2 linked regions of the Rattus norvegicus genome follow. The protein of the gene in region 1 interacts with the protein of each later gene in a pairwise test. Links are inferred from orthologs where the notes say so. Each region holds a gene or a part of one and is shown in the gene's direction. Other genes may lie near its edges. The genes, in order: Plekha5 and Pdzd11.

The links.
Region 2: the proteins of Plekha5 (region 1) and Pdzd11 interact in binary tests that used the Homo sapiens proteins (3 or more experiments, as listed by UniProt). The two-hybrid records come from large-scale screens. The link is inferred for Rattus norvegicus from reciprocal best matches to the Homo sapiens genes PLEKHA5 and PDZD11.

What each region holds. Positions count from the first base shown.
Region 1 is NC_086022.1:175,210,599-175,226,067, forward strand, and holds part of Plekha5 (pleckstrin homology domain-containing family A member 5), read left to right. Parts: intron 1-1,907; coding exon 1,908-2,009; intron 2,010-5,061; exon of another isoform or gene 5,062-5,090; coding exon 5,091-5,202; exon of another isoform or gene 5,203-5,227; intron 5,228-7,218; coding exon 7,219-7,265; intron 7,266-8,166; coding exon 8,167-8,355; intron 8,356-9,442; exon of another isoform or gene 9,443-9,670; coding exon 9,671-9,791; intron 9,792-9,813; exon of another isoform or gene 9,814-10,139; intron 10,140-11,170; coding exon 11,171-11,286; intron 11,287-13,732; coding exon 13,733-13,942; intron 13,943-15,469.
Region 2 is NC_086039.1:69,751,829-69,767,860, reverse strand, and holds Pdzd11 (PDZ domain-containing protein 11), read left to right. Parts: upstream 1-6,063; 5' UTR 6,064-6,250; intron 6,251-6,694; 5' UTR 6,695-6,707; coding exon 6,708-6,794; intron 6,795-7,124; coding exon 7,125-7,208; intron 7,209-7,411; coding exon 7,412-7,468; intron 7,469-7,995; coding exon 7,996-8,094; intron 8,095-8,304; coding exon of another isoform or gene 8,305-8,319; coding exon 8,320-8,380; coding exon of another isoform or gene 8,381-8,454; exon of another isoform or gene 8,455-8,546; coding exon 8,547-8,581; 3' UTR 8,582-9,096; downstream 9,097-16,032. Other genes in the region: chromosome-associated kinesin KIF4A, read right to left, coding at 5,248-5,362, 5,480-5,599; Arr3 (arrestin-C), read right to left, coding at 15,661-15,718. UniProt on the Homo sapiens protein: Mediates docking of ADAM10 to zonula adherens by interacting with PLEKHA7 which is required for PLEKHA7 to interact with the ADAM10-binding protein TSPAN33.

The sequences.
Region 1 (15,469 bases):
ACACATCAGGCAGCTCAAAACTGCCTGGGACTGCAGCTCCAAGGGATGTAACCACCTTTTCTGGTCTCTGCAAGCACCACACATATGAACGGATAATTTAAAAAAAAAAAACTTTCTAAAAATAAATTGTTTTTTAAGATTTATTTTATGTATATAAATGCTCTATCTGCATGTAAACCTGCATGCCAGAGGAGGGTATCGGATCTCTGAGCCACCATGTTGTTGCTGGAAATTGGACTCAGGACCTCTGGAAAGAACAAAACCGTTGCTCTTTACTGGATGAGCTATCTCTCCAGCCCCCAAAAAATTAAATAAAATAAATAGATTTAAAATTTTTAAATAGATATAAATTCATTATAAAACTTACTTAAAGAAACCCTTTTGTTATTTTTATTTTTTTTAAGATTTATTTATTATATATAAGTACACTGTAGCTGTCTTCATGCACACCAGAAGAGGGCATCAGATCCCATTACAGATGGTTGTGAGCCACCATGTGGTTGCTGGGATTTGAACTCTGGATCTCTGGAAGAACAGCCAGTGCTCTTAACCACTGAGCCATCTCTCCAGCTCATTATTTTCAATTTCAAACAAGGTCTCACTTACACTAGGTGGCCTCCAACTCCCTTTACAGGTGAAGATGACCTCATCCTCCTGCCTCCACCTCCCAAATGTAAGGATTACTAATGTGTGCCACCATGCTCTAAAATTCAACTGGAGTTTACAGTCTGAATTCACAAGAGACTTTTTTCTATTTGATTTAGAGAAACAATGAATTAGAAAAAGACCAAATAGCAAAACAAGAAAGGACCTGGTCAAACAGTGGGCAGAAGAACTGGACAGAAGAAATGCAAATGTCCAATAAAGGCATTTTCAACATTCCTAGCCATCTTAAAGATAAAAATTATAACTACTTTGAGATTCTCCCTTGAGTCAGAAGAGAGATGATCAAGAAAACACAGGAACTGGAGAGGTGGCTCCACTGCTGAGAGCATTTCCTGCGAGGCAGAGTGGCCACACCTGTAATCCCAGCAGGTGCGCCTCAGTGAGTTCAAGGCCAGCCTGATACACGTAGAGCTCAGGACAGCCAGAGTTACACAGAGAACCCTGTCTTTTAAAAGCACTGCTTCTCTTGCAGAGGACTTGGGTTTGGTTTGGTTCCCAGCAGCCACGTGGAGGTCATCTCAGGCAGTGCACACACACACACCTGCAAGCAAGCAAGCAGTCATGCACAGAAGATAAATAAATCTAAAACATTGTGTTAAAGAACATGGACTGGAGAGATGGCTAAGTGGTTAGGGAATGGGCTACAAGGAAACAAAGGACAGCAGATGCTGGGGAGAATGTGGGACCTTTCTCCCCCACTGCTGAGGACGTACACCAAGGTGGGGACGTCAGACTCCCAAAGAGACTCCAAACACAGCCATGTGGCCACCAGCCACAGGAGCGAAGAAATGGAGCAAGCCTGAGAGCACAAAATTTGATAAACAACATGTATACCTTGGATATATTTTTTTTTTGGCAGACATAAAGAAAAATTAAATCCTGACATTTGCACAAAAAGATAGCTGGCCCTGGAGGAGGTGAGGAGGTCATGACATTAAATAAAGTAATGCTGACCCTGAAAAAGCACCACATGCTCTCTCTGAAGGAACTGAGTCTTGAGAAAGAGGAAACAGCGCAGGAGAGTAGACGACAGCAGTTCCTGTTTTGGTGCTGAAGATGTAATTTAGTAAAACACTCGCTTACCACGGTTTTTGGCTTCAGTGTCCAGCACTGCCAAAGATATTTCTATTTTGCCCAGAATAAACCATATCGTTTTCTGAAATCTTGGGAGGTCTTAAGCACACTGATAATACTGTTAAAGTTTGGGTCCCCTTTAAAATGATGAACATTCTCGATTTTAGGAGCTGGAACGAGCCTGGAGAGAATATGACAAGTTAGAATATGATGTGACTGTTACCAGGAACCAGATGCAAGATCAGCTTGATCGCCTTGGAGAAGTGCAGGTAGGAAAGGCACTCTGCTTATAGTCTACCGCTGTAGCCTTCACAGGTTCATGCTGTTGGCCTCTAAAGATACACAGTCGAGTGTCTTCAGTGACAGGACTCTCACTCTCCCACAACGTTCCCCATCTCCTCCATAAAACCTTTGCATCTTACTGGACCCTGATGACCCCTGAAACACTCATGCTTCTTTGTGTTTAGTGCAGCTCCCTCAGCACTCTGCACTCTCAGTACTGTGCTCTCAGTACTTAGCTCACCTCTCAGCACTCTGCACTCTCAGTACTGTGCTCTCACTACCTAGCTCAACTCTCAGCACTCTGCACTCTGAGTACTTAGCTCACCTCTCAGCACTCTGCACTCTGAGTACTTAGCTCACCTCTCAGCACTCTCCTCTCTGAGTACTTAGCTCACCTCTCAGCACTCTGAGTACTTAGCTCAGCTCTCAGCACTGTGCTCTCTCAGTACTTAGCACTCTGCACTCTGAGTACTTAGCTCACCTCTCAGCACTCTGCTCTCTCAGTACTTAGCTCAGCTCTCAGCACTGTGCTCTCAGTACTTAGCTCTCAGCACTGTGCTCTCAGTACTCAGCTCAGCTCTCAGCACTTCCTATAAATGTGGTTTAGACTCTTCACGCGGGAATCAGAAATGCAGTTGTTCATTGTATGCAGTGGTTTGTTTTCCTCTAGTAAGTATCCCTAGTAAGTATCCCACTTGTAGCTCTTGCATACTAAAGTTGTAAGTGCCCCCCAGACCTATTTACCAAATAATATTTATTTTTAATAATTTTTTCTTGGGGCTGGAGCACTTAAGAGCACTTGCTGCCCTTCCAGAGACCCCACATTGAATAGCGCACAACTACTTATGACACTAAGTCCAGGGGATTGATTACCGTCCTCAAGCCTCTGAGGTTCCCACATATGTGGCACACATTGTCTCACTGCTCTATTGCTGCTGCAAGGAGACACCAAGGAGAATTAATTCAGCAGGAAGCGCCAGAGCTTGAAAACAGCCTGACTTCAAGCAGAGGTCCAGGCCTGCCAGGGCTGCTTAGTGAGGCCCTCTCTTAGTTAGAGTTTCACTGCTGTGAAGAGACCATGACCAAGACAACTCTTAGAAAGGACAACATTTAATTGGGGGTTTAACTGGGGCTTACATTTCAGAGGTTCAGTCCATTATCATAGCAGGAAACAAGGCAGAGTGCAGGCCAACTCAATGCTGGAGAAGATGCTGACAGTTCTTGATCTGCAGGCAGCCAGGAGGGGACTCTCTTCCTCACTGGGCAGAGCTTGAGCACTGAGAGCCATCAGCGCCCAGAGCCCACATACAACAGGAACACACTTCCCAACAAAGCCACGCCTACTCCTCCATGTTGGAGGAGGCATGTTACTGTGGGTGGGCTTTGGGCTTTCAAACCCCACAGCAGGCTCAGAGTCTCTCTGCCTGTGGCTGTCAGGTACTACTTCAGCACTGTGCCCGTTTGCTTCCAGCCATGATGATCAGGGGTTAACCATCTGCAACTGTAAGCAAGCCCCCAGTCACATACTTTCTTTTTATGAGAGTTTGCCTTCCAAAAAATAGCTGGGCAGCGGTGGTTTTTGCCTTTAATACCAGCACTCAGAAGGCAGAGGCATGCGGAGTTTTGGATTTGGGGTCAGCCACGGTTACACAGAAAAACCCTGTCTTTGGGCGGGGGAGAGAAAAATATACATATATATATATAGAGAGAGAGAGTGTGTTTGACCTTGGCCATCTGGTGTTTCCTCACAGCAATAGAACAGTAGGACACTGTGTGTCACTTCTGTGGGTCCTCAGAGGCTTGAGAACGTTAGTGTTACAGGTGGTTGTGAGCTCAATGTGTGCTCTCTGGAAGAGCAGCTAAGCTATCATTCCAGCCCCAAGAAAAATGTATTTCTCTGTAAAGGCTCATAAAGATCTAACAGAGTCTTGAAACTGTATGATTTTAACCTAAAGGCATGTTACATAATATTTAAATAAGAAAACGAATGTACCAGAATAGAGTAATGATTATATGTTTGTATTGGAAACATACCTACTTCCTCCTGTCAGTCAAGTGTTTCTTTGGTTGTTAGTGTTTTGTTTATGTTTTAGACTTTAGGAAGTAATGCAGGAACCCTTACCCTCAGGACATATCCCATGCCTTTCAGTGAATCACGAAACTCCAAATGATAGGGTGCCCTGTACACAAAGATTGAGAGGAGGTGGTCCTGGGCATTTAGAAATAAGTCTCACCAGTCTCTCTGGACTGCCCAAGTCCACACCTGCAACAACAACAGCCAGCCACTTTAAGTGGCCAACGATGACACAGTAGCTGCTGCTCCCTAAATCCAGTGCTGCTGTTGTGCTGAGAGCCTTGTGCATGTTGGACAAACGCACTGCCTGCCGCCAACCTGCAGCCCATCTGTGTATGTGTTGACTGTGTATGTGAAACCAGAAACATGGATCTGTGGAAGAGGGAGCCCATCAAGAACCTTCTGTGGCTTTTCAGCTCTTCTCGGGGGCTTGTTTTTACTTAGGAATATTAGGGTTTCTCTCCCGTCCCTTCCTAGAGTGGCGAAGCACACGGCAGGTGTGTGCAATAGCACATTTATATCAGAGAGATCCAGTGGTTTCTCTTCTGCTTTCCCTCTCACCTTTGCAACATCGTGGCCTCATATGCATAATCCTAAATATTCCAGGGACTTGAGCCTCTGTGGCTCTAACTTTCTATTATATAACTAGTAGAACTTATAAGGCTGACTTTTTCATAACTTGCCATTGAATTATTTCCCTGTTGCTGTCATAGAAAACCCTAACAAAAAGCAACTTAGTGGAGAAAGGGTTTCTTCTGGCTCTCAGACCCATTGTGGCAAGAAAGGCATGGCAGGAATGTCTGGAGGCTGGCCCACACTCCGGAGGGAAAGAGGGAGAGCAGGCGCCCAGCTGTAAACCATCAAAGCTCCCACCTAGTCATTGTGTACTCCCTTCATCAAGGCCCCCAGCTGAAACCCAGGGTTCAAATGCATGAGTCCATGGAAAACAATTCTCACTCAAGCACCACAGTGATCTGTCCATCTTTACTGATAGAGTGAGTCGGCAGGAATTCAACGGGCACAGATTCAAAAAGAACTTTGGAGAATTCAAGATGTCATGGAGGGGTTGAGCAAACACAAACAGCAAAGAGGCTCTTCAGAAACAGGTGGGTCAGCTTTGCATGGCTGTGTCTAGATGGAAAGACATCATTAAATTTGTCATCTGAATAGAATTTATCTTCAGAAAACAGTCACTGTGCCATTGAATGGGTGCATACGTTAATAAACTAAAAGCAGTGATTCTGGCAGCCACAGCCACACAAAATCTGAACTGTGTATGTGATTACTGAAGGTACGTTAGCTTCAGCGACTCTTCCCTTCTGAATCTCCTCAGTGTGGGGAAAACTGAAGTGATCCTGCACCTCTTTTCCTCACCCTCCATGTCCCCCTATACACACTTCTTTGAATTTTACTTACTTAATGTCAGAGTGCTCTGCTCCTGTACATCTGCAGGCCAGAAGGGGGCATCAGATCCCTTACAGATGGCTGTGAGCCACCATGTGGTTGTTAGCAATTGAACTCAGGCCCTCTGGAAGAGCAGCCAGTGAGCACTCCTAACCTCTAAGCCATCTCACCAGCCTGCTTCCCCCCCACACCCTTTTAGGAATATCTTTTACTTATATTTTGGAAGTTTCATACATGTACACAATGTATCAACATATGTCAACATCAACTTCTCTTTTCTTGTTTCTGACCAATGAATGCAGTTTCTGCTACCGTTAACATGGTGACTGATCGTGTTGACTTTTCCAGTCCCAGATGTAATAGTAGTTGCCTGAGACTTTCCTTTTCCACATTGGTGAACATGTGCTGTGTCTGGAGTTATGTTTGTTTCTGTCTGAGTCCCTCTGTAACAGGCCTCTCATTCCATAGGCCCACAATATAAAGAGTTAGTAAGTGCTCCATTCTAAAGACTACAGCCAGATTGGTCTCCTAAAAGACGACTGTGTACACCAGTAATGCCTGAGGAAACCTGTTCCATATCCTTTTGTCTCTTGTGTTGAAGACATTTTTTTAAACTTACTTTATGTGTATTGCTGTTCTGCCTCCATGGTCATCTGTGTAACTTGCGCATGTGGAGGCCAGAAGAGGGCAACAGATCCCCTGGAGCTGTTAAAGGCAGTTGTGAGCCTCCAGCTAGAGTACCCAGCTGGCGCTCTTAACCCGAGAGCCATCTTTCCAGCCCCAAGTACCATTTTTTAAATCTAATATTTAGGCCAGATGGTGGTGGTGGTGCACACCTTTAATCCCAGCACTCTGGAGGCAGAGACAGGCAGATCCCTGAATTCGAGGCCAGCTGGTGTACAGAGCAAGTTCCAGGCAGCTAGGACTACACAGAGACCTCGTCTCAAAAAAAGAAAGAAGAAGAAAGAAGAAGAAAGAAGAAGAAAGAAGAAGAAAGAAGAAGAAGAAGAAGAAGAAGAAGAAGAAGAAGAAGAAGAAGAAGAAGAAGAAGAAGAAGAAGAAGAAGAAGAAGAAGAAGAAGAAGAAGAAGAAGAAGAAGAAGAAGAAGAAGAAGAAGGCGGCTTCACTAGGTGTGGTAGCTAACACCATAGTCCTAGCACAAGGGAGGCTGAGGCCAGGGGATGGCCTTGTACCAAGAGCAGCCTCAGTTAGTGTCAGGCAAGAGCAAACTCCACACCATAATCCTAAAAAGAGCAGCTGAGCAAATACAGGAGTACACTGAAGGCTTCAGTCAAAATAAGCAGAGCCAGGGCGACCCAATGAGGCAGCTCAGTGCATCCCTGAGCCTCAAGGTGGAAGCATAGAACCCGCTTCCGGAAGTCGTCCTCTGCCTTCCACATGTGCACCTTGGTACATGTGCATACACATGCCCACAAAATAAATACGTGTAATTTAAAACTTTTTAAATAAAGTAAGCTAACTGAAATCATTCATTCTGTGAGTTTAGAAAGTTGTTCTTGCTGGTCAGTGGGGGCACACACCTTTAATCCAAGCACTCAGGAGTCAGAGGCAGGACAATCTCTGTGAGTTCCAGGCCAGCCTAGTCTAGAGCAAGTTCCAGGACAGCCAGGGAGGGCAGTTACACAGAGAAACTCAGTCTTGAAGAAGAAAAGAAAGTGTTCTTAACATCAGTAGCCATGTTTTCTCATTTCCCATAGGTCTGGCAGGACCAAAGCCTTTCCCAGCAGTTAAGTACAAAAGCGAGGTAAGTCAGCTTGGTTTTCTAGCTCACTTGAAGTATTAGTACTGAGGTTAAAAGTAGTTACACCTTCTCCAGTCCTGAAAGCAGTAGTTTGAGCCTGCCTGGGGTGGAGCCCCCCCCCCCAACCCCAGAGCTTGGGAAGCTGAGGCAGGAGGAGGTTAAGTCTGCCTGGGCTGCATAGCAAGACTGTGTCAGGAGAAACAAGGGTGTTTTCTAAATATATAAATATATTTAGGTTATTTTAATCTTAAAATGTTGATGATTTAGTAATTTGGTGTCTTAATGACTTCTAACATGATTTTTCTTCCTTAAAGTCAAATTAGTGACTACTTTTTGTCTGTTAAAACTTTAACATTATTGTACTTTTTCCTTGTAATTTAAATATTAATCATGGCGTCTTGTGTTTAATAAAGTTTGTAGGGACGGTTGCTAGATGAAGTTAGCTTGGTCATGCATGCCGTAGAGAAATTATAACAAAGAGACACTGTCAACCTAACTGAAGAAAATCTGTGCCCTTGAATTTTGTTTAAAAGCCAAAAAGGAAATTATTTTCTTTTTCTTCTCAAAGGCGTCAAAAATATATAATATGGTTTTTGTTTTTTTTTGTTTTTTTATTTAGCCAGCTCTTTTCCTCTGGTTGTGCAGTGCAGTACAGTATGTTCACATAGTACCTTGTCTGAGCAGGGAAAGCTGCCCCATACGTGTAGGGGGAAGCGCACACGGCCTTTGAAACCCATTATTGGCGATCATGCTAAATCGTTTTGGTTTTTCAACATAAGACTCTTGGCTTGGCAGTGTCCCTTTAATCATACTAAAGTAACTAAGTTAATGTAGCAATGAAAACAGTTTAGAAATGCTTAATCCAATCTGCTCATCTAAATAAGGTGACTTCTACAATCTTTAGGAAGAGGAAGTAGTCCCACCTCGGCCTCCACTTCCTCGGTCTTATGACTTTACAGAGCAGCCTCCCATAATCCCCCCTCTGCCCAGTGATAGCAGCTCCTTGCTCTGTTATAGCAGGGGCCCCGTGCATCTGCCTGAAGAAAAGAAGAGTCACCAAGTTCAAGGATATCCAAGAAATGGATCTCACTGTGTAAGTGGCTGCCGTGCCACACAATGATCATGTACATCTGTTCACTTTTTAAGTTAACTTATTTCATACTCTAGCTTATTTTTGCTATAACTCCATTTTTTAGCTAGTGCTTTTTTTGTTTGCATATAACATTACCCTTTGTTTTTCCAATTTACATTTTATCATTCTCATTTTTTAATGTTCTCATAATTTTAATATTTCATTTTTCATAAAGTGGTTACTTTGCACATTTTGATCAAGCCATATTTTAAATTTGCCATTTCATCGTGTTAGACAGAGTGTTTAGATCAGAAAATAGGGAATTAGCAAAATGGATGGGCACCAGGCAGTTTAGGGCTTCCTGTGACTGGAAATGAGGCTTCAATGGGAAAGAAGACAGTTACCATAAGCAAGAAGGATTTGGGACCTGGGGTTGGGCAGGTGTGTCGTGAGGTCAAGGCCAGCCTGAGCTATAAAGCAAGTCCCTGTTTCCAAGAGAGAACGAGAATGGGTCTTGGCTAATGGCGAGGATGTTGTATTCTCTGACAGCAGTGTAGTTTGGGATGAGCCTGGCTCACTCAGACTTATGTCTAGACGAAGGTTATTGGGTTCTGTGACTATTCTTAGACCTTCATTTAACCATGATAAAAATGTGACTTTGGGCCAGGTATGGTGGCCCCATCTGTTATCCCAGCAGAGAAGCAGATTTGGTAGAGCCATGATTCCTGACCAACCGAGACTGAGTTGCCTCAAGCAGGGTGAGGGGGAGAATAGCCCCCGGAGGTCAAAAGGGTCAAGAGGTCAAGGCAAGCCTGGGCTATACGAGGATCTAGAGAGGTGGCTCAGGACCCCAGATTCAGTTTATTGTTCTTCGCAATGTACAACTGTTATGACAGGAATCCGACATCCTTGTATAGCCTCTGCGGGCACCAGGCACACCTGTGGGGAGCAAGCCAAACACTAATATTCATAAATTAAATAAAGTTTTAGAGTGCATACAAGGCCCTTGGATACCTACACACAGGAAAGCATACTTTGACCTAGGAATATTGTTCATTTTAAAATAGTAAGTTTTACTAATTAAAACTCTTCCTAAAGAAGAAACAACCTTGGAATTATTCTTCGTACTCAGTACCACGTGGTGTGAGTGCGTCATGTGAGAGGGAGCCAGCTGGGGCTTTCGGTTTGCACCTTTAAAGGCAGACTTATTTTCAGTTGAGCCAAGGACCTTTCTGGTGCCAGACAAGGCTTCTAGTGCTGAGCCTCGGGCCCAGCTGAGGGACAGGGTACAGTGACGGCAGCATTTGTTGTTGCAATCGTGTGTCTTCCATTCAAGGGTCCAGATTATAGACTCTACAAGAGCGAGCCAGAGTTGACCACAGTGGCAGAAGTTGATGAATCTAATGGAGAAGAAAAATCAGAGCCAGCTTCTGAGGCAGAAGCTCCGGTTGTTAGAGGTCAGCATTTATAGTATCTTACCTGTTTTCTGTCTTTGTTTTCAGATATTTTAGTATATACTTTCAACCAGTATGTACATAAATCTATAATCTCTTATTTGAAATCTTTGAGATCTTTTTGTTTCCCAGCTACATGTTGTGAGCTGTATGTGGTGATGCATATGTTTATCCTAGCACTTAGGAGGCAGAAGTCAGTGAGCTTCTGTGACATCATGGCCAGCCTGATCTCCATGGTAAACTCCAGAACTCCAAGGCAGCCAGAGTTATATAATGAGACTTTGTCTCACACAAGAGGGAGAGGGAGAGAGAGAAACACTTTGAACCATGTTGACACCAACCTACAGGAGAATTGCTGTGAGTTTGTGACCTACTAGGGCTGTGTAGTAAGATTTTGTCTCAAAATAAATAAAAGAGGGCAGAGTTGGCTCAGTGGTTAAAAGAACTTGTGGACGACCTGGGTTCCAGTCTCAACAATCTATAACTCTAGTTTCAGGAGATTCAAAATCTCTTCTAACTTCTGATGGCACCAGGTGCGCGCGCGCGCACACACACACCCACACCCACACACACACACACACACACACACACACACACATCAAAAATATATGTGTTTTGTTTTGTTTTCTGAGACAGGGCTTCTCTGTGCACAGCCTTGGCTGTTCTGGAACTTGCTCTGAAGAATACGCTGGCCTTGAACTCAAGAGTTCTACCTGCCTCTGCCTCCAAGTTTTGGGATTAAAGGCATGCACCCCAACTTCCCAGCTAAAAAATATGTTTCTAAAAAAATTAAAATTAAAAGAGGCAGAACAGTGTGGGCAATAGAGTTACCGTAAGGAATGGTGTAATGGCCCAGTGATTAGGAGCACTTGCTTTTCTTCCAGAGGACCTAGGTTTAATACCCAGAACCTACATACACATACATAGTTAAAAATATAATGAACGATTCCTTTTGAGATTTTATGCGTGTTTTTTTTTTAAGTCTATGCCTTGTGTGGGTACTCTCAGAGGTCAGGAGAGGGAGTGGGACCTCTTAGAGCTAGAGGTTCCGATGGTTGTGAGCTCCCTAACATGGGTACTGACAGTGGGACCCCAAGCCTCTTACATCAGGAGACACTGCCAAGCCTCCTCTCCAATCCCACCACATTGCTGTGCCTGGGAGCCTGTATGTCAGGTTGCAGGAAAGCACTGTTCATGGCTTAGGTCCAATCCCAACTCACTAGAAATCATAATCAGCCAAGGCCTCTAGTGTAATGCTCGGTAGGGCACCACGCCGTGTCACAAGTGCTCAGCAAGGTGCCACACCCTGTCACAAGTGTTCACAAGGGCACCACATCAGATCACAAGTGCTTTGTGGGACTTAACACTGCTTTAACTTTCAGGTTCCCACTTTCCAGTTGGAGTTCCTCTGAGAACGAAGTCACCTACACCTGAGTCCTCAACGATAGCTTCCTATGTGACCTTGAGGAAGACGAAGAAGATGGTGGAGCTAAGAACGGTATAGCCTCCTCACTGCTGCTGAGAGCTTGCTGTTTGTACAGTTGGAGTAGGAACATCGTCATCTTTCTGCTTTTATCTCACAGGACAGCCAATCACAGTATCTTTTGGTCAACCCCAACCTAAGCCTTAGTCTACAGTCAGGCTACACAGTAACATCATGTCTTTTTAGTTTTTTAATAATTTACTTACTTGTGTATTTATTATATGAGTACACTGTAGCTGTCTTCAGACACACCAGAAGAGGGCATTGGATCCCAATACAGATGGTTGTGAGCCACCATGTGTTTGCTGGGAATTGAACTCAGGACCTCTGGAAGAGCAGTCAGTGCTTTTTTTTTTTTTTTTAAGATTTTCTTATTTACTATATATAAGTACACTATAGCTATCTTCAGACACACCAGAAGAGGGCATCAGATCCCATTACAGATGGTTGTGAGCCACCATGTGGTTGCTGGGATTTGAACTCAGGACCTCTGAAAGAGCACTCAGTGCTCTAACCACTGAGCCATCTCTCCAGCCTGACACCATGTCTTTCTAACAGGAAAGACAGTTAAGATAGCCCAGGGTATGGTGTCACATGTTTGTGATCCTAACTTCTGAGGAAACTGCAGTGTACAATGCCTTTGAGGCTAGCTTGGACTACTAAAGACCCTGTCTCAAAATTTACCCCCCAAAATAAAAATAATTGTAAGATAAAACTAATAGCTGTGTATCACTGTAGTGTAGTGTAATGTAGTGGTCATAGTTCTAAAGTAGTGTTATTAAGAGAGAAGAGCTGTTTTTCTCCTTAAGACAAATCCATTTCTGTAGATCCTACCTCAGCCTCCCAAGTGTTATAGACACCACTGTACCCTACTACTGCCAACTCAGGCCAAGGAAATGGAGAAATCTGAATTCTGTCCCACAGATTGTAAAATGTGTTTAACTTTAAAATCTGTCATATAAAGTGTGTTAAAATTTTTCTTTCCTAGTGTGACTAATATTTCTAAGCCCTTCAGTTTATATAAAATGAAACAGACACATAGAAAAACTATGAAAATTACCTATTTGTGACAGTTTACAACTATGAAAACTAAAACTATCTTTATAGGAAATAATATTTCTGTACTTTTATTGTTAATCACAAAACATTATAGGGTATTTTCTTGACTAGTCACTTCATAGTAATGTGTGACGAAAAATATTACATTCCTCTAAAATGGAAGAAATGTCCATTGTGTAAGTATTGTGCCCCATTTCTTCCCTCCCCCATTTCTCCTAATCTGAGGTTTGTGCTGTTTTCTGTTTCAGAGACAGGGGGTAACTTTATTCAGAGAAACCATACCATTTATTCATTTATGTTTAGTGAGACAGGCATCAATATGTAGCCCAGGCTAACCTCAAACTAACCTCAAACTTACAGCATTCCTGCTTCTGCTCTTGAAGGCATTACTACAACAGACAACCGTGTGTTTGGGGAGCGGGGGAGAGGCGGAAAGAGACCCTACAGGGTATCTCAGTGAACTCCAGAAGTCTGCCCTCTACCTTCCCTCACCCAAGGACAGGAATTTAGATAGGAGCTGCTGTACCTGACTTTCTCGTGGTGCTGAGGACCCATACTCAGGTTCTCATGCATGGACTTTACTAACTGAGCCAGCTCTCCAGTCCAGCACTGTCTTTTTAAGCAGCATTGGTGTTTAATAGGATAGTTTTATTTTGGTTTGGTTTGGTTTTCGAAACAGTTTTTCCTATGTAGCCTTGGCTGTCTTGGAAGTCTGTGGACCAGGCTGACCTTGAACTCACCAAGAACTGCCTGGCTATGTTCCCAATACCCCAAAAATATTGCCAACAGCACCCAGTGTCAGCGGGTTAACGGTGTTACGTAGTGCGGATTTGGAGTCTGTGGATCGAGAGGAAGAAGAACTCAGATGGGGTTGGGGATTTAGCTCAGTGGTAGAACACTTGCCTAGCAAGCACAAGGCCCTGGGTTCGGTCCCCAGCTCCGGAAAAAAAAAAAAGAAAAAGAAAAGAAGAACTCAGATAATGCGTGCATAGGCTTCTCTGAGAAGCTCCCTTTGGCTGTTTCATTCTCAGTCATCACACCCTGTGGCTGGCCGAGTTGGTTTTGTCAGGTTGAGGCTGGAGCCCAGGAGGCCAGCACTCTGCCACAGGCTAATGCTTCTGCTGTTCCCTTACTGGTATTGAAGACACAAATTTGTAAATTTACCTTAACATTTTTTTATATATGATATTTTTAGAAGTTTTTATCTGTTTGTTTTTGAGACAATATCTCATTCCCTCCAGTCTTGCTTTAAACTCTGTATAGCTGAAGATGTCCTTGATCTTCCTGCTTCGGGTTTATTTGGTGCCCGGTATCCAAATCAGGGCCTAGTGCATGTATGCAAGTCCTTTATCAACTGAGGGGCTGTGTGCCCGGTGCTCACAGACCTGTTCTTCATTTTAAGGAAAGACCGAGAAGTGCCGTGGAACAGCTCTGTCTGGCGGAAAGTACTCGGCCTCGGATGACTGTGGAAGAGCAGCTGGAGAGAATCAGGAGGCACCAGCAGGCCTGCCTGAGGGAGAAGAAGAAGGGGCTGAACGTCCTCAGTGCATCCGACCCATCTCCCTCACAAAGTCCTTCAAGCGTGAGGGACAGTCCTTCCAGAGTTCCTCAGGTACACTGACTTAATTGTGGTTTAATTGCTTTTGACTACTGTAGATACATCTTTTCTCCTTGTTTGTTAAGAAAACTGACTTATTTAATATGCTACAAAGAGGCAGCCAGCTAATAGTGACAGAAGGGCCACTAGCCGGGGGATTGTCACAGGCTAATTAATTCTCTATCTCAGAAGTATATCCCAGCCCTTACTGCAACCTCACTGAGGCATTAGGGGCCTCCGTGAGCTCGTACTGTAGCGCAAGCAGGCCTTGTGTGGCCTTCTCGTGCTGTGGTCCCATGCAACCGAGGTTAGACATGACATGCGTCACAGACCAGGATAAGACTGTAGGTAGGACTGGCCTTCTGTTTCTTTATTTTGTACATGTGTGTGGGTTTGCTCTCCAGAACACCCTCATGGAGAGGACAACCTGTAGGAACTGGTTCTTTCCCTCCAGCTATCCACGGATTGAACTCAGGTTGTCGGGCCTGGCAGTGAGCAGTGCCCTTACCACTGAGCCATCTCTGACTCGTTTCTTTTCCATCCTTGGTGTTTATAACAAGACCAGGCTGGAACCTTATGTAGCCAAGGCTGGCCTGGCAATTCTCCTTCCTCTACTCCCGGTATTGGGGTTGCAGGCATAAGACACCATACCCAGCCTCTTTAGGTTTTACTGTATTTTAGTCAGGGTGGAAGGGATAACAAAGGTCTCTGCACACATAGCTGAAAGTGACTTTGAGCTCCTGGTCTCTTGTCTCCACTTCAAAGAGACAGCATCCCCTCTGTCTGTCTTTTTTCTTTAGACTTTTCAAGACCAGGTTTCTCTGGACTCAATTTGTAGACCAGGCTGGCCTCAAACTCACAGAGATCCTTCTGCTTCTGCCCTCCCAGATGCTGGGATTAAAAGTATGCGCCACTATGCCCAGCCCAAGAAAAAGTTTGAGACAGAGTCTCACTAACTGTCCATGCAGCCTTGGACTGACCTGTCACCAGGCAGTCCTCTGTCAGCCTGCAGAGGGAGGGCCTGGGCCACAAGGAGGCACCATCGAGACTGCTTCAGCTGAGTTACATGACAGACTTAGGTGTTTGATAGGTTTTCATAGATCTACCATAGAGATAGCTGCTTATATGACTTGGTTATTATAACAGTCAGCTATGGTGGCTTATTAAAATGAAAATAACTCTGCTCGAGAGAGGAGAGCCAAAATAACTGTTGGATACCCTTGTACCACCTGTGGCTTAATCCCCTCAACTGTAAAGCTCATGATACAACGTAACGTCTTTATACAGATAAACATGTAAAAGTTGGCACAAATATAAACTGTCATGCAGGACAGGCCCTGGCCTTGTTTACCATCACACCAGGTCCGTCAACAAGGGACGGCAAGGGGACCTGCTGCCTAGAGATGGCACTACCCACAGTGGGCTAAGTTCTCTGTCAGTTCTCAAGTAAGAAAATGATCAAAGGCAGGCTTGCTTGGTTACTGTGGTTCCGTGTCCACCCCTCCATAGGGCTGGGGCTTAGGTAAGCGATGCACCGCATTT
Region 2 (16,032 bases), on another chromosome or scaffold:
AATGGTACCTGGCCATGGTGGCTCGGGCAAGCACAGGACTTAGGAGCTCACAACTAGTCTCTACTGCATTACAGAATGAGTTCAAAGGAGGCATGCACTCAATGAGACTGTGTTTTCAAAACCAATAGCAGGACACACATGATTTGAAGGGGGAAACGGAACAATGTTGAGGGCTCTAACTGCAGAGGGACTAGCGGGGTTCAATACGGGACAGGGAGGGTGCAGGGACAAATAACACTAAGGATGTCTGAAAAATCCCTAAGGAATCATGGTATTTTTATTTACCTAAAATTACATATAATACATAGAAATGTATATACATGTTCCCTTTCCCCTAAACAGCTCTAGATTATCTTAAAAAAAAAAAAACCAAAAAACAAACAAAAAAGTCTAGAAGTGAACATAAGACACTTCCTTTCAAGTTGTCGGTCAGGAAGACAAGAGATTCCCCAAATAGCACAGGTTACTACTGCTGTATTCCGAAGGCTGAAGGTTAAGTACCAGTTACTGAAGACAACATGCATTTTACACACTGGACTTGGAGGATCTGAGATAGATTTGACCTGAAAACCTCTTCCCCAGGAACTAACTTTCATAGACCTGCAGGTATTATATAAAGTGCCAAGGGAGGGAAATAACCAACAGTCGTGCCTAGCTCTGAAGCCTATGGACCACAAGAGTTTAGCAAGATATCCCTAAAGGTGACACTCATATCTGGGTGGTAACCAACTGTTTTCTAATTGGACAAAGGTCCTTTCAACAGGAAGGAAATCATGCCTGACACTGGAAACCTAGCCGACTACTCAGGGATAGATCAGAGAATAGAACCTACTATACTATTTTACTAAACCAGTATACTTCCTAACTGCACTCTAAATACTTATCCTTATACCCATAGAGAAGAGTACCACTCACGCTTCAAAGAAGCTTCTCTTTGCAACAGATGGGGCATTACAGAAAATCATAACTGGTCAAAATGCAGAGAACACCTGCTAAAGGGATGCTCACCTCTAATGGACAACACAACTCCTGCACCTAAGAGCCAGGGAACATGGCAGACAAGGAGCAGAAAGACTGTGAGAGCTACAGGACCAGGAAATCTGCGCTGTCTGTGTCGCCTAGAAATGACAAGGTTTCACCCACAGTACCTCAACAGTATGGCGGCCTAAACAAGACCAGAAGAAGAACACCAGCAAGTGACATGCTAACACGGAAGGGACCCTTCCACAGAGAACTACAGGCAACTAACAACTGCTGAGTGAGGAAGCATCTGTCTTCTCCAGGGACAGCCCCCTTAATTGCTATCCATACCAAGTAGTCAGCCCTGAAATCATGTACACATGAGCAACACTGAGTAGACCCCACAGGTTCTATCATATACCGTGCAGTTGAGTGTGTGAGTGTTATATGTAACAGGAATTAAAAAGAGGCCATGGACTTAAGGGGGAAGGGGCAGGGCGTGGTAGGAGTAGGAGGGGGAAAGGAAGCAGGGAGCAATTTAATTATTAATAGAATGGAATGAAGAGAGTGGAGGGAGAAATAGCAAACTAGATGAGAATTAGACAAAATCATGCGAAAGAAAAAAGTAGAAGAGAATTAGAACTATATAATGCTTTTTCAATTATGCAAAAAGAAAAAATTAACTTTACAGGAAAGATTTGGTCGGTTTATACCTTAGACAGATTATTGATATATTAACAATTACAGTAATAGGACAAATCGAAATCATATACTGCCTGACAGGAATCAATGAGAATACAAAAGCATGTCTGTGGTGTTTCTGCTTAAAAAGCTCAAATTTTATCATAACATTAGATAAAAGCAAACGGAAAGACATAAGTGCCTTGTAATCTTCAAGTATCAAAAACAACGAAAGCTTTAAAAAAAAAAAAACAAAGGTTCAAGAACTATTTTATTTTAGACTTGGGGACTAAAAAAGGGCACAGCTAATCATAACACGATTTTTGAACTAAATCCTTTGCTATAAAGGGCATTACTGAAAGAACTGGCAACATTTGAATAGGGCTGAGGATTAGAAGGTAGTAATGCGACACTGCAGCTTCTGTGATTTTGATGGCTAGGACAGGTTATGATGACTCTTATTGGAAATATATGCTAAAGTATTCAGGGGTCATAAGGTCAATAACGTATTACCAATGATTCCAGAAATAAATGGCTCCCTTATGCTGTTTTTGCAACATTTCTATAACTATAGTGTTTTCAAGTTTTACAACAAGGTATTTAGTCTGGAACTATACCTCATTTGGCAGAGTACTTGTTTAGCATGTACAAAGCCATGAGTTTGCTTTCCAATACAGCATAAATCAAACCAAACCAAATCAAACCAAAGGAGGATGGTGTACATCTGGAATCCTAACACTGGGGAGGTCACAGGGAAACCGGAAGTTCAAGGTCATCTTTGGTTATTTAGTGAGTTCCAGGAAAGCCAGCTTTCCGGGAAAGCTCTTAAGACATGAGCCTTGTCTTACGAAAGGCTCTGATAAGATGGCCTGGTGGGTGACAGCACTTAAGGCCAAACCCAGCATCCTGTCTCTGGCCCTTGGAACCCATAGAGTGTTAGAACTGATGCCTACAAGTTATGCGCTGACCAGCACATGTACAATGTGATACACCGGCACACACGAGTCACACAAAACAGATAAATAGAAAAGACATAACTAGATAAAGGTTGGGTCTGGGGAGATGTCCGAGTGGGTTAACTGCTTGCTGTGCAAGCACGAGAACATGAGTTCAGATCTCTAGTGCCCATATAAAAACTGGATATGACAGCATGGATCTGTGCAGCCCCAGTACTGAGAGGGAAGACACAGGGGCATCCTGAGGTCTTTGAACTGTCAGTCTAGCTGAAATAGTTCAGCAAGAGCTCCTTGTCTCAAAACACAAGATAGAGAGCAATAGAGGGAAACACTTAATGTTGACCTCTGACCTCTACTAGACATGCACGAGCAAGGATATCTGTACAAACCTGTGCACACACTTTACACATACACAAAGATATTCAATATCCCCTGAGACATGACATCATTTTTAAGTTGTCTTGGTTTTTTTGGTTTTTTTTCAAGACAAGAGATTTTCTGTGTAGCCCTGGCTGTCCTAGAACTGGATCCATAGACCAGGATGACCTTGAACTCAGAAATCCAACTGCCGCTCTACCTCCCGAGCGCTGGGATTAAAGGTGTGCACCCCCACTGCCTGGCTTAAGTGTTCTGGGTGGGATTTTAGGTTCAGTGTATGCATGCAGGTACCTGTGGAGGCCAGGGGGATACATGTGGTAGGAAAGGACCAATTCCTGCAAGTTGTCCTCTGAGCCTCCCCCACAAATGGTGATACATACACACAATAGTAACTGCAGAAGAAAAAACTGAGCTGTCTAAAAGAAAGCAACTGTCAAGTAGGTCACTCTATGATTCTGGGACTTCTTTGTCAAAGAATAAATTTAAACAGGCACTGGAGATGGTCGTGGTGATGCATTTGTATAACCAGAACATGTTAAGGGTAAACACAGAAGGATCAGGAGTTAAGGGTCAGCTTCTGTTACATGTCTAATTTGAGATCAGTCTGGACTAAATGAGACCCTGGCACAAACAAGACACCAAAAGTTCATTTAATTACTAGAAAGAATTTGGGTGAAAAGTTCAACTAGATTATATGCAACACATTCACTAATTTGTTATGGTTCTAAGTTTTAAGTGAATAACTACTGAGCTCTGTACAAGATTGAGGCTGCCAAAAATCCCAGCAGAAACAAACACAGGGTTACACTCATGAAGTCCCACACCTAGCTGACCAACTACTAGCAATGGATGCCTACCAAAGGAAGGACAATCAGTTTTCTTCAGAGATGTGACCAAGAAGTTACCCATGCACTATAAGATGTTCTGACATACAGGTAACACTGAATTGACTCTGGGTTTAAGAAAAAAAGAATATATAGGCCGAAGAAGTGGACAGGAGGGAATAAGAGATTTGATAAAAAAAAAAACCCACTTATATGTATGTATGAAATTCTCAATAAAAAAAATTAATAACCACTGTAAACTACTAATATGACAAGTAAATATCTCTCAGGTCCTGCTGGCTTTAGATTCCTGCCCTTAAAAGCTTAGCTTCTGCAGTAAAGATTACTAGCTGGCCATAATACTCAATGACTTTAGGGAGGAAAAAAATCTATCTAAAAAAATTCAACTCATCTTTCAATACCTATCTCAAAAGTTCCATATGCTTGGAAATTAACCCAAACTCCCCTAATGGAGTTTAGTGGCATCCTTCAATCGTCATACTATGTTGTAGGAAAACAGTAACACTTCCATAGCTTCTATAGGTACAATTCATACTCCATACACACTACACAGTTAACAGAGTCTCACTATGTAGCCCTGGCTGGCCTGGAACCCTAGATGTGTAGACCAGACCAGGCTGCTCTTGAACTTACAGAGATTCCTTTCTGCTTGCCTCCTAGGTAATAGGATTAAACACATGGGCCATCACATCCATTTTTGGCTACATTGTGAGTTTAAGACCAACCTGAGCTATATGCAATACTGTCTGGGGAAATAAAGAGGAAAAAAAAAAGAAAGAAAAGAATCACCCCCAATTTTTTTAAATAGCTGTAAAAATTTAAACTTTTTCTATGTATCCAAACTCACTTATGTAGTCATCTATGGGTGCCGTGGCACCTGGGTAAAGCACTGGTGGATGGTGACAGAGGCTTCAATACCACCCTCCCGGATCCCAGTTCCCACAGTCATCTACCTGTTTTCTGACCCTGTGGACTTTGAACTCAAGGGCCCAGAGACTATGTTACATATCTGAATATTCTTGGCACTTCCGCAGGTTAGTACACAATCAGCACCAAACAAAAACCACATATTCTTTATTTTTGCTTTGTTTTCTGTTTGTTTGTGAGACAGGATCTCACTAGGTACCCCTGGATGTTTTGCCACCCGCTATGTAGATCAGGCGGGCCTCAAACTCACAGAGATGTCTTTGCCTCCCAAGCACTGAGATAAAAGGTGCTCTGTGAGGTCCCCCAAAACAGCAACATACGCCTAGGTCAAAGATAAACAGGACAGTCTGAGACTAGCTTCAAGAGTAGAAAGACTTTCACAAATGGTACTAGTCTGTAGGCTGTTTTTAAAAGCTATTTCATCCATTCCTCTATTTGTAGTGCCTTTATGACCCACCCATAATACATGCTCAAAAAACCTGCCCAGTGAACAGCCTCACCTTTAAACACGCCTTTTATGAGTGGAGCTACTGCTGTATTAAAGACCTCTTCCTGTTCAGTAGAGGGGTCAAACACAAAATCGTAGGTAAATGATTTATCAGTACCAACCACCACCTGCAAAAGGCAAGAGAGAAGGGATAGGGGAAGGATTAAAAAAACAATGCCTGACCACGCCCCTCCCTCCTTTCAGCCTCAGCTGTGGAGAGAGCCACTCTAGACTTGACTACTCACCTGAGGCTCTCCGGGCACAAAAGAAAGGCACGTCTGGCAGCCCTCATTAATCTCTTTAGAGACAAGGGGGCGACAACGCAGTGCCACTCTTACAGGAATTCCCTTCACCTCTTCTTTCATGGTACCAGCTCAGCAGGTGTCCTGGCCAAGTGAAGCCAGCTCTCCCAGGAACCTTCCGAGGTTGGCAGGAGTAGAAAGGCCCTTCTCAGGCCGTAGGAGACTCGGAACTCGCTGATGCACTCTCCCTCCCAGCAGGATCACTGTGTCCTGTCACTCTTGGCCACCGCCTAATGGTTTGTCAGTCCCAATACTGCAAGGCGAAAATGGTGTCTGAAATAAAGAAACTCCAGCGAGACAGCGACCGTGACCCCAAGCCCTGAAGTGCTACGAAGCACGGAATTTGAGCTAACGTGGTGCCCGGTAACTCACCAAACTAAACGTCCCTTCCCCGATCTTCCCTGGCGCCCTGTTCCAACCGGAGCTTTAACCGCCAAGTTTCAAATTGATCCCAGAGGCGCCAGCCAATCGGAGCGCGTACAGCCTGTGAAAAGTACACGGACGTGAGCACGCACAACGTGACGCCCGAGGAGGCTAGAGAGCTGGCTCGCCCAAAGCAAGCTCCGCCCGTGCTGGGTGGTAGCAAGCATCCGCTTCCGGTTCCAAGGCGGAATTGGCTGTCGCTAAGGGAGGCCTACTTACCGGTAAGGTGGCGCTGAATTAAGTGGTCGCGAGTGCGGGGTACGGGCGGGTTGCAGGACCTGGATCTGGAAGGTATCCCTTGTTGACAGAACTCGTCTGTGGACGCCACGTTAACTAATCACCTCTAGAGACTGGCAATGTGCCTGGCTCCAATCCCTGTGGGATAGTTATTGGCACTCCCTTTCTGTTTTAAAGTAGATCTTTATAGATGTGATTCTCATTTCCTATTCTCTAGGTTGAAAGCCTCTTTTTGTTGAATTGTAAGAAATGCAAACATGCCATTAGAGTGCTTAAAAAATTAGATTTTTTTTTGTTTTTTTTTTTTCGGTTTTTTGTTTTGTTTTCATTATTTTGTTTTGTTGCCTCTTTTCCCACCCCATGCCCTCATTCAATCTTGACACCTACTTGTGGGCTAGTCCCATAAACAAATGGCCCCTGGAGGGGATGCTTTCTGAAACGTAGAGCACTTGGTCCTTTTTAAAATCATTTTTGTTTCATTTGATTCTTCCTTTTCAGGGCTTTGCCTGAAATGGACAACCGGATTCCTTATGATGACTACCCAGTGGTTTTCCTGCCTGCCTATGAAAACCCTCCAGCATGGATTCCTCCTCATGAGGTGGGAGCCATCTGCATTCCTGAAGAAGAAATACCAATCCCCAAGCATGAGGTCTATGAAAGATAAGTAGCAGGGTTATGAAGCTCAACGGAGACTGAATCTTAGGTGAATTTTGAGCAACAGTGACCCACTGGCAACTTCTTGTAGAACCACCCTGCTAGAGCCCTTCACTCTGCTGAATTCTGAAACCTTAGCTTCTATCCTGTCAATAAAAAAGGGATAGGGATTTCCCACTTCCTGACATGTATCTGATTTATTGATACTCTAAAAGGAGGTAGATGTACCACGTGAGACTGGGAATAAGATGGTTAAGATTGCTGTATCTTGCAGAGAGTATACCACCCAGACTACAACAATGAGTTGACCCAGTTTCTGCCCCGAATTGTCACATTGAAGAAGCCTCCTGGTGCTCAGGTAAACTTATAGAGGCTCTTATTCCAGTTACATTTTGGCCATGCCAGAAGATGGCTATGGTTGGGGCATGGATGTGGTTTGGGAAGTAGGTGACTAGAAGTGTGGAGATGACACTTCCATAGCATCTCCTTTTCTTCTGAGTACACAGATGTCCTCGTTCTTGTGTCCATGCTGAGTCTGCATCCTGTGTTCTTGTCTTTCAGTTGGGGTTTAACATCCGAGGAGGAAAGGCCTCCCAGCTAGGCATCTTCATCTCCAAGGTCTGTGTGAATGTGTGTGTATGACAGGCTGTATGGCTATTGACTTTGTTATATTAAAATGCACTGGTGGCCCAACAGATTAAAAAAATGGATGACCCGGTGGAGTCATAGAATACACATAATGGGGATTTAGCCTTTTCTTCTCAGACTTGAACTTGGGCCCAGTGTGGTGTGGGGCATGTGTTGGTACTCCAAGAACTCTAGAGGCAGAAGCAGGAAGATTAGGAGTAGGTAGTAATTTGAAAAGTCAATCTGGACAATGGTGGCATATGACTTTAGTCCCAGCACATAGGAGGCAGAGGTAGGCCAGTCTCTATGAGTTCAAGGCCAGTCTGATCTACAGAGTGAATTCCAAGGCCACAAAAGAAAAACCCTGTGTTTGAAAAAAAAAGATTCTAAACCTAATTTAAAAAAAAACTAATCTCCCTGTGGCATCACAAAATTAACAATTTGAACAGCACTGAATTCCCCCTGCAGCTTCCTAATTCATGCCATCTCAAGTACATGTGTTACCCCTTCACAAACAGGTGATTCCAGACTCGGATGCACATCGAGCAGGACTTCAAGAAGGGGACCAAGTTCTAGCTGTGAATGATGTGGACTTCCAAGATATCGAGCACAGCAAAGTAAGCACAGTGCATGGGCTATAGTCATCCAGGAAGCCGTCTCAGGTAGGACAGGTTGGACCAGATTAGCCTAATCTGGAAGAAAGCATCTGTTCAAGGGAAATGTACCAGAAGAGAGCAGTTACCAGTGACCTAGATGTTTGAGGTGGCACATTCCATTACTGTGTCATATCTCTGTCCTGGGTAATAGCTCTTCATTTGTACAAGCAGCTGTGTGTCTTCCAGGCTGTGGAAATCCTGAAGACAGCCCGAGAAATCAGCATGCGTGTGCGCTTCTTTCCCTACAGTAAGGCACTTTCTTTTTATCTTTTTCTTTTTCTTCCTTATATGGCAGGGCTGCAGGTAAGAGAACTCTTTTAAATACGGACGGATGATGGCAAGCCCAAGAAATTGGGAATGGGAAGTTGGGAGCTCATCCTGAAAATAATGTGCTGTGTTCTTTCTTACCCCAGATTATCATCGCCAAAAAGAACGGACTGTGCACTAGAGACTTGCAGCCCACAGCCCTACCTGTGGAATCTGCCAGGACAAGCTGGGTAGACCTCTGAGAAGTTGGAGAAGTCAGGAAATTCTATTCTCCACACCCTCCTGGTTTATGGATGGGGAGGATGGGGAGACAGCTTACCAGCTGTATTACGTATTAACTGTACTGTGCTAGGAGTTCCCTAGTTTGCTAGGTGAGTTTCATTCTGGAAAGGGAGAAAGATAGTGATATCTAGATGTCTGTAGCCTGTGGAGGAAAGCCAACTAGAAAACAACTGGCATTTATCAGGTACCTTAGATTGGTCACGTATACAGCTTATTGTTTTATTTGTAGAAATCAGTAGAAAAGAGAATCATGGGGACCTTCCATCTGATTTGCCTGGCCATGCCATCGAGTCTTTGTACCTTGGAGTCCCATACACTTCAGAGACTCCAAGGAGACACTTCCTTCTCATCCCCGCCCCCACCCATAGTAAAAAACATAATACTGAATAAACGTGGCTTGAGTGATGCTGCTTGAATATAAAATGCCATTGAGGAAAACAAATACAACAACCAACCTGTGGGAAGGACAGCAATGTCATATTCACTTTACAACTCTATCTGGCCAGACAACTTGGGAGCTTAAAAAACACTAGTCATAGAATCCACAAGGGATCCCTAGAGTCAAGAGCCTTAGGGAAAGCTGCCCCTTACCCAGGAGTGTTAGATTTTGTGCTGCAGCAGGATGGTGTTAATGTATTCTTTCCCACATTCTCTGACCTGGAATTAAGCCAAGGAAGTGGCATAGATTATTTTTTACAAGCAGCAGTAGGAAAGTGGTTCCTAACTTCCCATTTGTAGTTTCATTAGTGGTAACTGCCAACTTCTTCCTTTTTCTGACCCTACCTGTGAATAACTTTCTGTCGTCCTAGATCCTTAGTGACTGAACATTACATACCTGCATGTATATGGTATGTAATGTTCCCTCCATTGACTGACATTAAAATACCCAGTCATAATGGAAAGGTTTTTTTTTTCCTCTGAAGAAGGCGCTGCTACAATGAAAGCCCAACATTTGACTTAAAAGATCCTAGGGAGAGCCACCAAGATGACTCTCTGGGCTTAAAGGATGCCTTCTTCCAAGCCTGACAATCTGAGTTTGCTCTCCAGGATCCCCATGCTGAAAGGAGAGAACAGATTCCCAAAGTTGTCTGTTGTCTTTTGCCTGTAAGGTGTGGCAAGCTAACACAATCCTGGGAGCTGAACTAAATCTCTTAATTCCTTCTGGAGAGTGATTCTTTTGGTTTGAGAGAGAACCTAGGACTCTACCTTATTTGTTTACTTACCTGTTTTGTTTTTGAGACAGTGTTTCTCTGTGTAACCTTGACTGTTTTGGAACTCACTCTGTAGACCAGGCTGGCCTTGAATTCACAGAGATCGCTTGCCTCTGCCTCCTGAGTACTGGGATCAAAGGTGTGAGTCACCACTCCCACCCCCACCCAGACTGGGATCTACCTTTTTAAATAAGCAAGATAAATTTTCAAATGGATGAAATGTGGAAACTGGCTCTTCCCATGAATCCTACCCCAGCTGTACTAAAGGCATTGCTAGAGACTCAGTTCTATTACATTGTTGGCACTGTACCTTCTGAGCAGAGCCGGAGGTATAAAATTAGCTTAAGTCTTCCTGGGAATTCTGTCCTCTTATTTGCTCTGCTGACCCCCAGTGGCCATCAGAGAAAGAAAAACTTGGATATTTCACAAAACTAATAGCTGTGTCCACTGACAAAGTCAAGACTATTTCCATGGTTATCAAGTTTTTATTAACTTTTTTTCCTGAGGTAGGTTCTTGGTACATAATTCAAGCAGGTCTTGGACTTGTGATCTTCCTGCTTCAGATTCTGAAGTTCAGAGGATACAGGTATCTATCACTCGCTGCACCCAGCACGGGTAGCAGGATTTACTTTATGAAGGTCCAAAGTTGACATTGGCTACCTTTCTTCAGTCACTTTTTCTCTTATTTTTGGAAAGTATATCAACTTACTGAACCTGAATCTTTTATTTGGCCAGACTGTCTGGCAAGGCCCAGAGTTCCTTCTTCTCTCTTCCTCCCCAGTGTGTGGACTACAGAAGATGTGTGCTACTACATCCATAATTCCTTTTTTAAATTTTTTTTTGAAATAGAATATTTTATAGCTCTGGCTCTCCCTGGAACTTGCTGTGTAGACCAGGCTGGCCTTGAAGTTGGAGAGACCCACCTGCTGCTGCTGGGATTAAAGGTGTGTGTCACCATGACAGGCATCGGGCATTTTAAGTGCACTATGGGATTCAAACTCATGTCCTCATATTTGTACAATAAGGATTTTACTGATGTTGACATTTCTGTAGCCTCCAGTTAAGATTTTCCCTTACCATAATTTATTAATTCAACAGTCATTCTATTAGCAGCATTTAAAAGTTTTGCACCCCATCTGAGGTCCAGAGAACATTGCAGAAAAAGTGCAGGGGTGGAAATAGAGCCAGTGGATAGAAAGGAGAACTATCTTTCATCTAGATAACACGTAGCCATTGTAGTCAAGAATACACCAAGCTGTGGTTACCCACATAAGACCTTGGAGATTCCTAACGATGAGCTAGGAAGAGACCCATAGAAGTTTCTCATAAAGATCTTGCTCTAGGAAAGCAATTATCAACCTGTGGTTTGAGACCCTTTGGGGAGGCCTAATAACTTTTTCAAAAGGGTCACTTAAGATCATCTGCATATGAGATGTTTACGATTCATAACAGCAAAATTACAGTTAGAAAGTAGCAACAACAGTAATTTTATTGTTCAGGGTCAACACAACATGAGGAACTGTATTAAGGGAATTGCAGCATTAGGAAGATTGAGAACCACTGCTCTAGGATGAGGTTCAAGGCCCAGTAGAGTGATAGGCTGAGTTGGATTTCAGGCTAAATATTTAATGATTCAGGTGGCTTGCAGTCCAGGAAACTGAGAAAGGAGATCCAACAACTCCCAGTTAATAGATTTTAAAACAATATGGGCCAATGACATGGCTCAGCAGGTTAAGATATTTACTGCCAGGCCTGATGGCCTCAGAGCCCTCTGATAGGAGAACAGACTTCTGCAAGTTATCCTCACACACACACACATATCCACATGTATGTCATGGCACATGTGTTCACATACATGTACACACAGTAATTACTAAACACAAAAAGCAACTTAAGTAAGAAGTGTGATCAGTATGGTGTGATCTCAGCCATGGGGCTGAGAGAGTCTTCAGCAGTTAAAAGCACTAGTGGCTCTTCCAGACAACCCAGGTTCGATTCCCAATATCTACATAATGGCTCAAGACCAGTAACTGCAGTTCCAAGGAATCCCATACCTTTTGCCCTATGCACTCACCAGGTGTGCATGTAGTGCACAGAGATAAGGGGGTACATATATCATTCTTCAAATTTATTTTTGGGGAGCATAATATACCGTTTCTTCCCCCCTTTTCTCCTAAACCCTCCTGTACACCCCTCCTTGACCTCTTTCAGATTTCCTTTTTTATATTCTTTTTTTTTTCCGGAGCTGGGGACTGAACCCAGGACCTTGCGCTTGCTAGGCAAGTGCTCAACCACTGAGCTAAATCCCCAACCCCTTATATATTCTTTGATTAATTCCTCTCACTGATTGTTATTAAATGTATATCTATATTTCTAGGGTAACTCATTCAATATCTTTTCTAGTTCCATCCATTTACCTGCAAAGTTTTTGATGTTATTTTTCTTTAGAGCTGACAAACGTTACATAGTGTATGTGTTACACTATCATTCCTCCGTTGAGGGTGTTTAAATTATCTCCATATTCTAGCTATTGCAACAAAGCAATGGTCGTGGTTGAGCAAGTACCTTCAGAGCAGGATGTCCAGTCCTTTGAGCAGATGCCAATGAGCTGGGTCCCATGGTTGGTTTACTTTTAGCCTCTTGAGAATTCTCCATGGTAATTTCCAGAGTGGTTGAATCAGCTTGCAATCCCACCAACAGGGAATGAGAGTTCTCTTTTCCTTGTGTCCCCTCCAGCATTTGCTGAGTGTTGGTCTTTGCCATTCTGACTGGGGTAAGGTGAAAGGTCAACACTGTTTTGATTTGCATTTGCATATCCCTAATTTTTAGGGACAATGAACATTTTTGAGTTATTTCATATGTATGTATGTATGTATGTATGTATATTCTTTTCGGAACTCCCTTGTTCAGGTCCCAGGCCCAGTTTTGGAATGTGTCATTTTTGTTTGATTGATTGTTCTGGGTTTTTTTTTTCAGTTCTTTGTATATTCTGGATATTAATTCTCTGTCAGGTGTATAGTTGGCAATGATTTTCTCCATTTATGGGTATCTTATTCACACGGTTAATTGGTTTTCTAGCTGTACAGAAGCTTTTTAGTTTTATGACGTCCCACTTGACAATTGTTGGCCTTGACTCTTAGGTAAATCAAGTCTTATTCAGGAAGTCTTTTCCTATACCTGTATCATGAAGTGTACTGTTTGATGTTGAGGTCTTTGATCCATTTGGAGTTAGTTTTTCTATGAGGTGAGAGAGATGAGTCTAATTTCGTTCTTCTGCATGGACATCCAGTTTTCCCAGCACCATTTGTTGAAGATGCTTTCTTTTATACCAGGTATGTTTTTAGCATTGCACATAAACAAATTTTAGTAAGACTGGAGCAAAAATTAGACTAGCCTTTGACATTATCCTAGCTGTTTTAGAGCTCCGTCCTGTATAAATAGATTTTAGTTATCAATGAAAATAGGTACTCTGCATGACCCAGTAACTTAGATGTGGTAAAAGAAGCTGACAGCGCTTCTGGAAGCTGTTTTATTCTTAAGTCTAGTCGTTAGAAGAAAGTGTTAAAACCAGGCTAGGCAGAGTGGTGCACACCTTTGATTCCAGCACTTGAGAGGCAGAGGCAGGAGAATATGAGTTCCAGGCCAAACTTGTCTACATAGCAAGTTCCAGGACAGCAAGGAATACATAGAGAAGTGGTTCTCAACCCTCCTAATGTTGCAGCTGTTTACTATGGTTCTTGATGTGGTGATCCTCAACCATGAAATTTTTTGTTACTACTTCATAGCAGTTTATTATTGTTATGAATTGTAATGTAAATATCTGTGTATTTTGATGGTTTAGATAACCCCTATGAAAGGGCCTTTCTAATCCCACAGGGTTTATGACCCACAGGTTGAGAACCACTGTCTCAAAAACAAACCACCAGAAGCTTAGGGGTGGAAGAAAATAGCTGCGATGGAAAGCCAAATACAATGTCTGCCAAATTAGGCAGAGATGATCTAAGCCATGGACAGGGAAATGGGTTTTAATGCCTGAATTCTAGAAGTTTCCAAGTCAGTTTTCAGCACCTAAAGTTTATGGTAAGGATCATAGCACAGTTAAGGTGATGAATCAAATGTCAGCTAGGAACCACTTCTAGTAAAAATGAGGAATTCTGACCCCATGGGCATCACTTAAACAAAGGAGGCACTTTTGGCTAAAGTTATTTCTGTTTTCCATTACCACTTAAGCAGAAAAGTGGGCCTGGCTTTTAAGAGTGAGTGAAACTTGCTTCTCTGCTTTCACACTCCCTACCCCAGAAAAGCTAAGAAAAAAGATGTGCCCTTTATTTCTACAGTGGAGGTGAAGCCATTTAAGGAAGGGCAGAAACCATACTAGAATAGCTGTTTTAGTATATGGACAGTGAATTAAAAGCAATTTTAAAGGTTCAGAGGCTCAGATGATTTTGTGCTTTCAGGCTGCATGATAGGGGGTGGTGGACGAACTTTGCCACCTCGCCATCATAGGGTGAACTACGGTTATCTAAAGGTAAGTAGTAGTGGGAAACTAGAGACCTTGCAAAGGCTATGTCATAAAGAGGAATGGGTGTTCTGTTTCTCACACTGCAACTGGTTTGGGCACTCGTCCCAACAACCATCACATTGAGGTCTCCAGATTATTCTTCATCCTTTTCTGCAGAGACTTGCCTAGGCAAAGGAAAAGGAAAAGAACCGGATAGTGAAAACCTGTAGTTAGTGGATGAGGTTAAATCCTTACATATAATCATGCTGGCCTAGGGCCTGGAACACTGGAAGCCTTGAACCCATGACGTTTCCAACACTGGGTTCTGATGCCTCGAGTAGACAGCACAGTAGCACCTTCATGTGAGGATTAAACTTTAAGTGTGTAGACCAACAAACCTTACCATGTGTTGGTCATGGTACACACCACATTGATGACATCACCTCTGTCTCCTCATACATCTAGTATGTACTTGTCTCTTTGAAAGGCCAGAGGCTCTCAGAATCCTGTCCCCTGCCAGCACACACCCTAGCTGGTCAACAAAAGACTCAGTCTAGAGGTAGCCTCCTCCTCTCATTCCGTGCTATTCATAGCTCCTTATCTTAAAGCCCATCTTAGACCAGGAATAGGAACCTGACTTTGCACAGAGGTCGGTATTTGTGTTTCTTATTAGTCTCTAGGACATGGCCTCTGGCCTCATTCCAGGGCTCCTGGCCTCACCTTAAAAGGACCAGAAACATTCCTTGAACCGAGCAGGCAGAAATACTGTAACAATGATTTTCTGTACTTGAACCTGTACCACCTGACATCACCATGTTCTCCTCCAGTAGCAACCGTTGACAGTTGTCATCATAGCCAAGTCTAGGAGTGGCCACACCCTTTTGGCTTCCTCTGTGGGGTTCTTTACAGTGTAAGAACCAGGTACTGCTAGACCAAAAGTAATTACAAGAGTAAGTCGTCAGGCAGGGACTAGGGTAGCTGAGGCCAGAGAGAAAAGGCAAGTGACTCAGAGGGACCACATAGGGGCAAATTACCTAACACAAGATACCTAATCAAGCTTGTAGGTAAGGGTGGGAGAGGTACAGGCGCCTGCAGCAGAGATCATTATCTGGAGTTCCGTGTTCTCCCAGAGGAAAACAAAAGGCACAGAGATCACACCAGCCATGTCCAGACAAAACCTTTTATTAGAGTGTTACAACAGGGGCTTCCACACAGAATTATCAGAGATGACTATCGGCTCTTAACTGTGTCTGCTGTTGGAGCTTTCTAGCTTTGTGTCTGGCTGTTCTGCTGCATAAACTCTTCGACAACTATGTCCTCCGAGCTTGCAGGAGCAGCAAAGGGGAAAGGAGAGTTATCAAACCCCTCTCTGGGCTTCCTCCACATTCTTGATTCTAGAGAGGTAATCACTTCCCTGCTTCTCAGCCTTCCCCTCCTTGCCCCATGGGGAGGGCTTGTTTCCCTTCTGAATCTGTCTAGACAATGGTGTCAAGGTGCATTAGAAGGGAAACAGTGGAGCATGGGGTACAGGGAAAGGATTAAAAAAAGATGAGGATGATGTGGAAAAGGAGGACCCCAAGTCACAGAGAAAGCACAACCAACCTAGTTTTCCAGGGAGTGAGGGATCACAAGAACAAC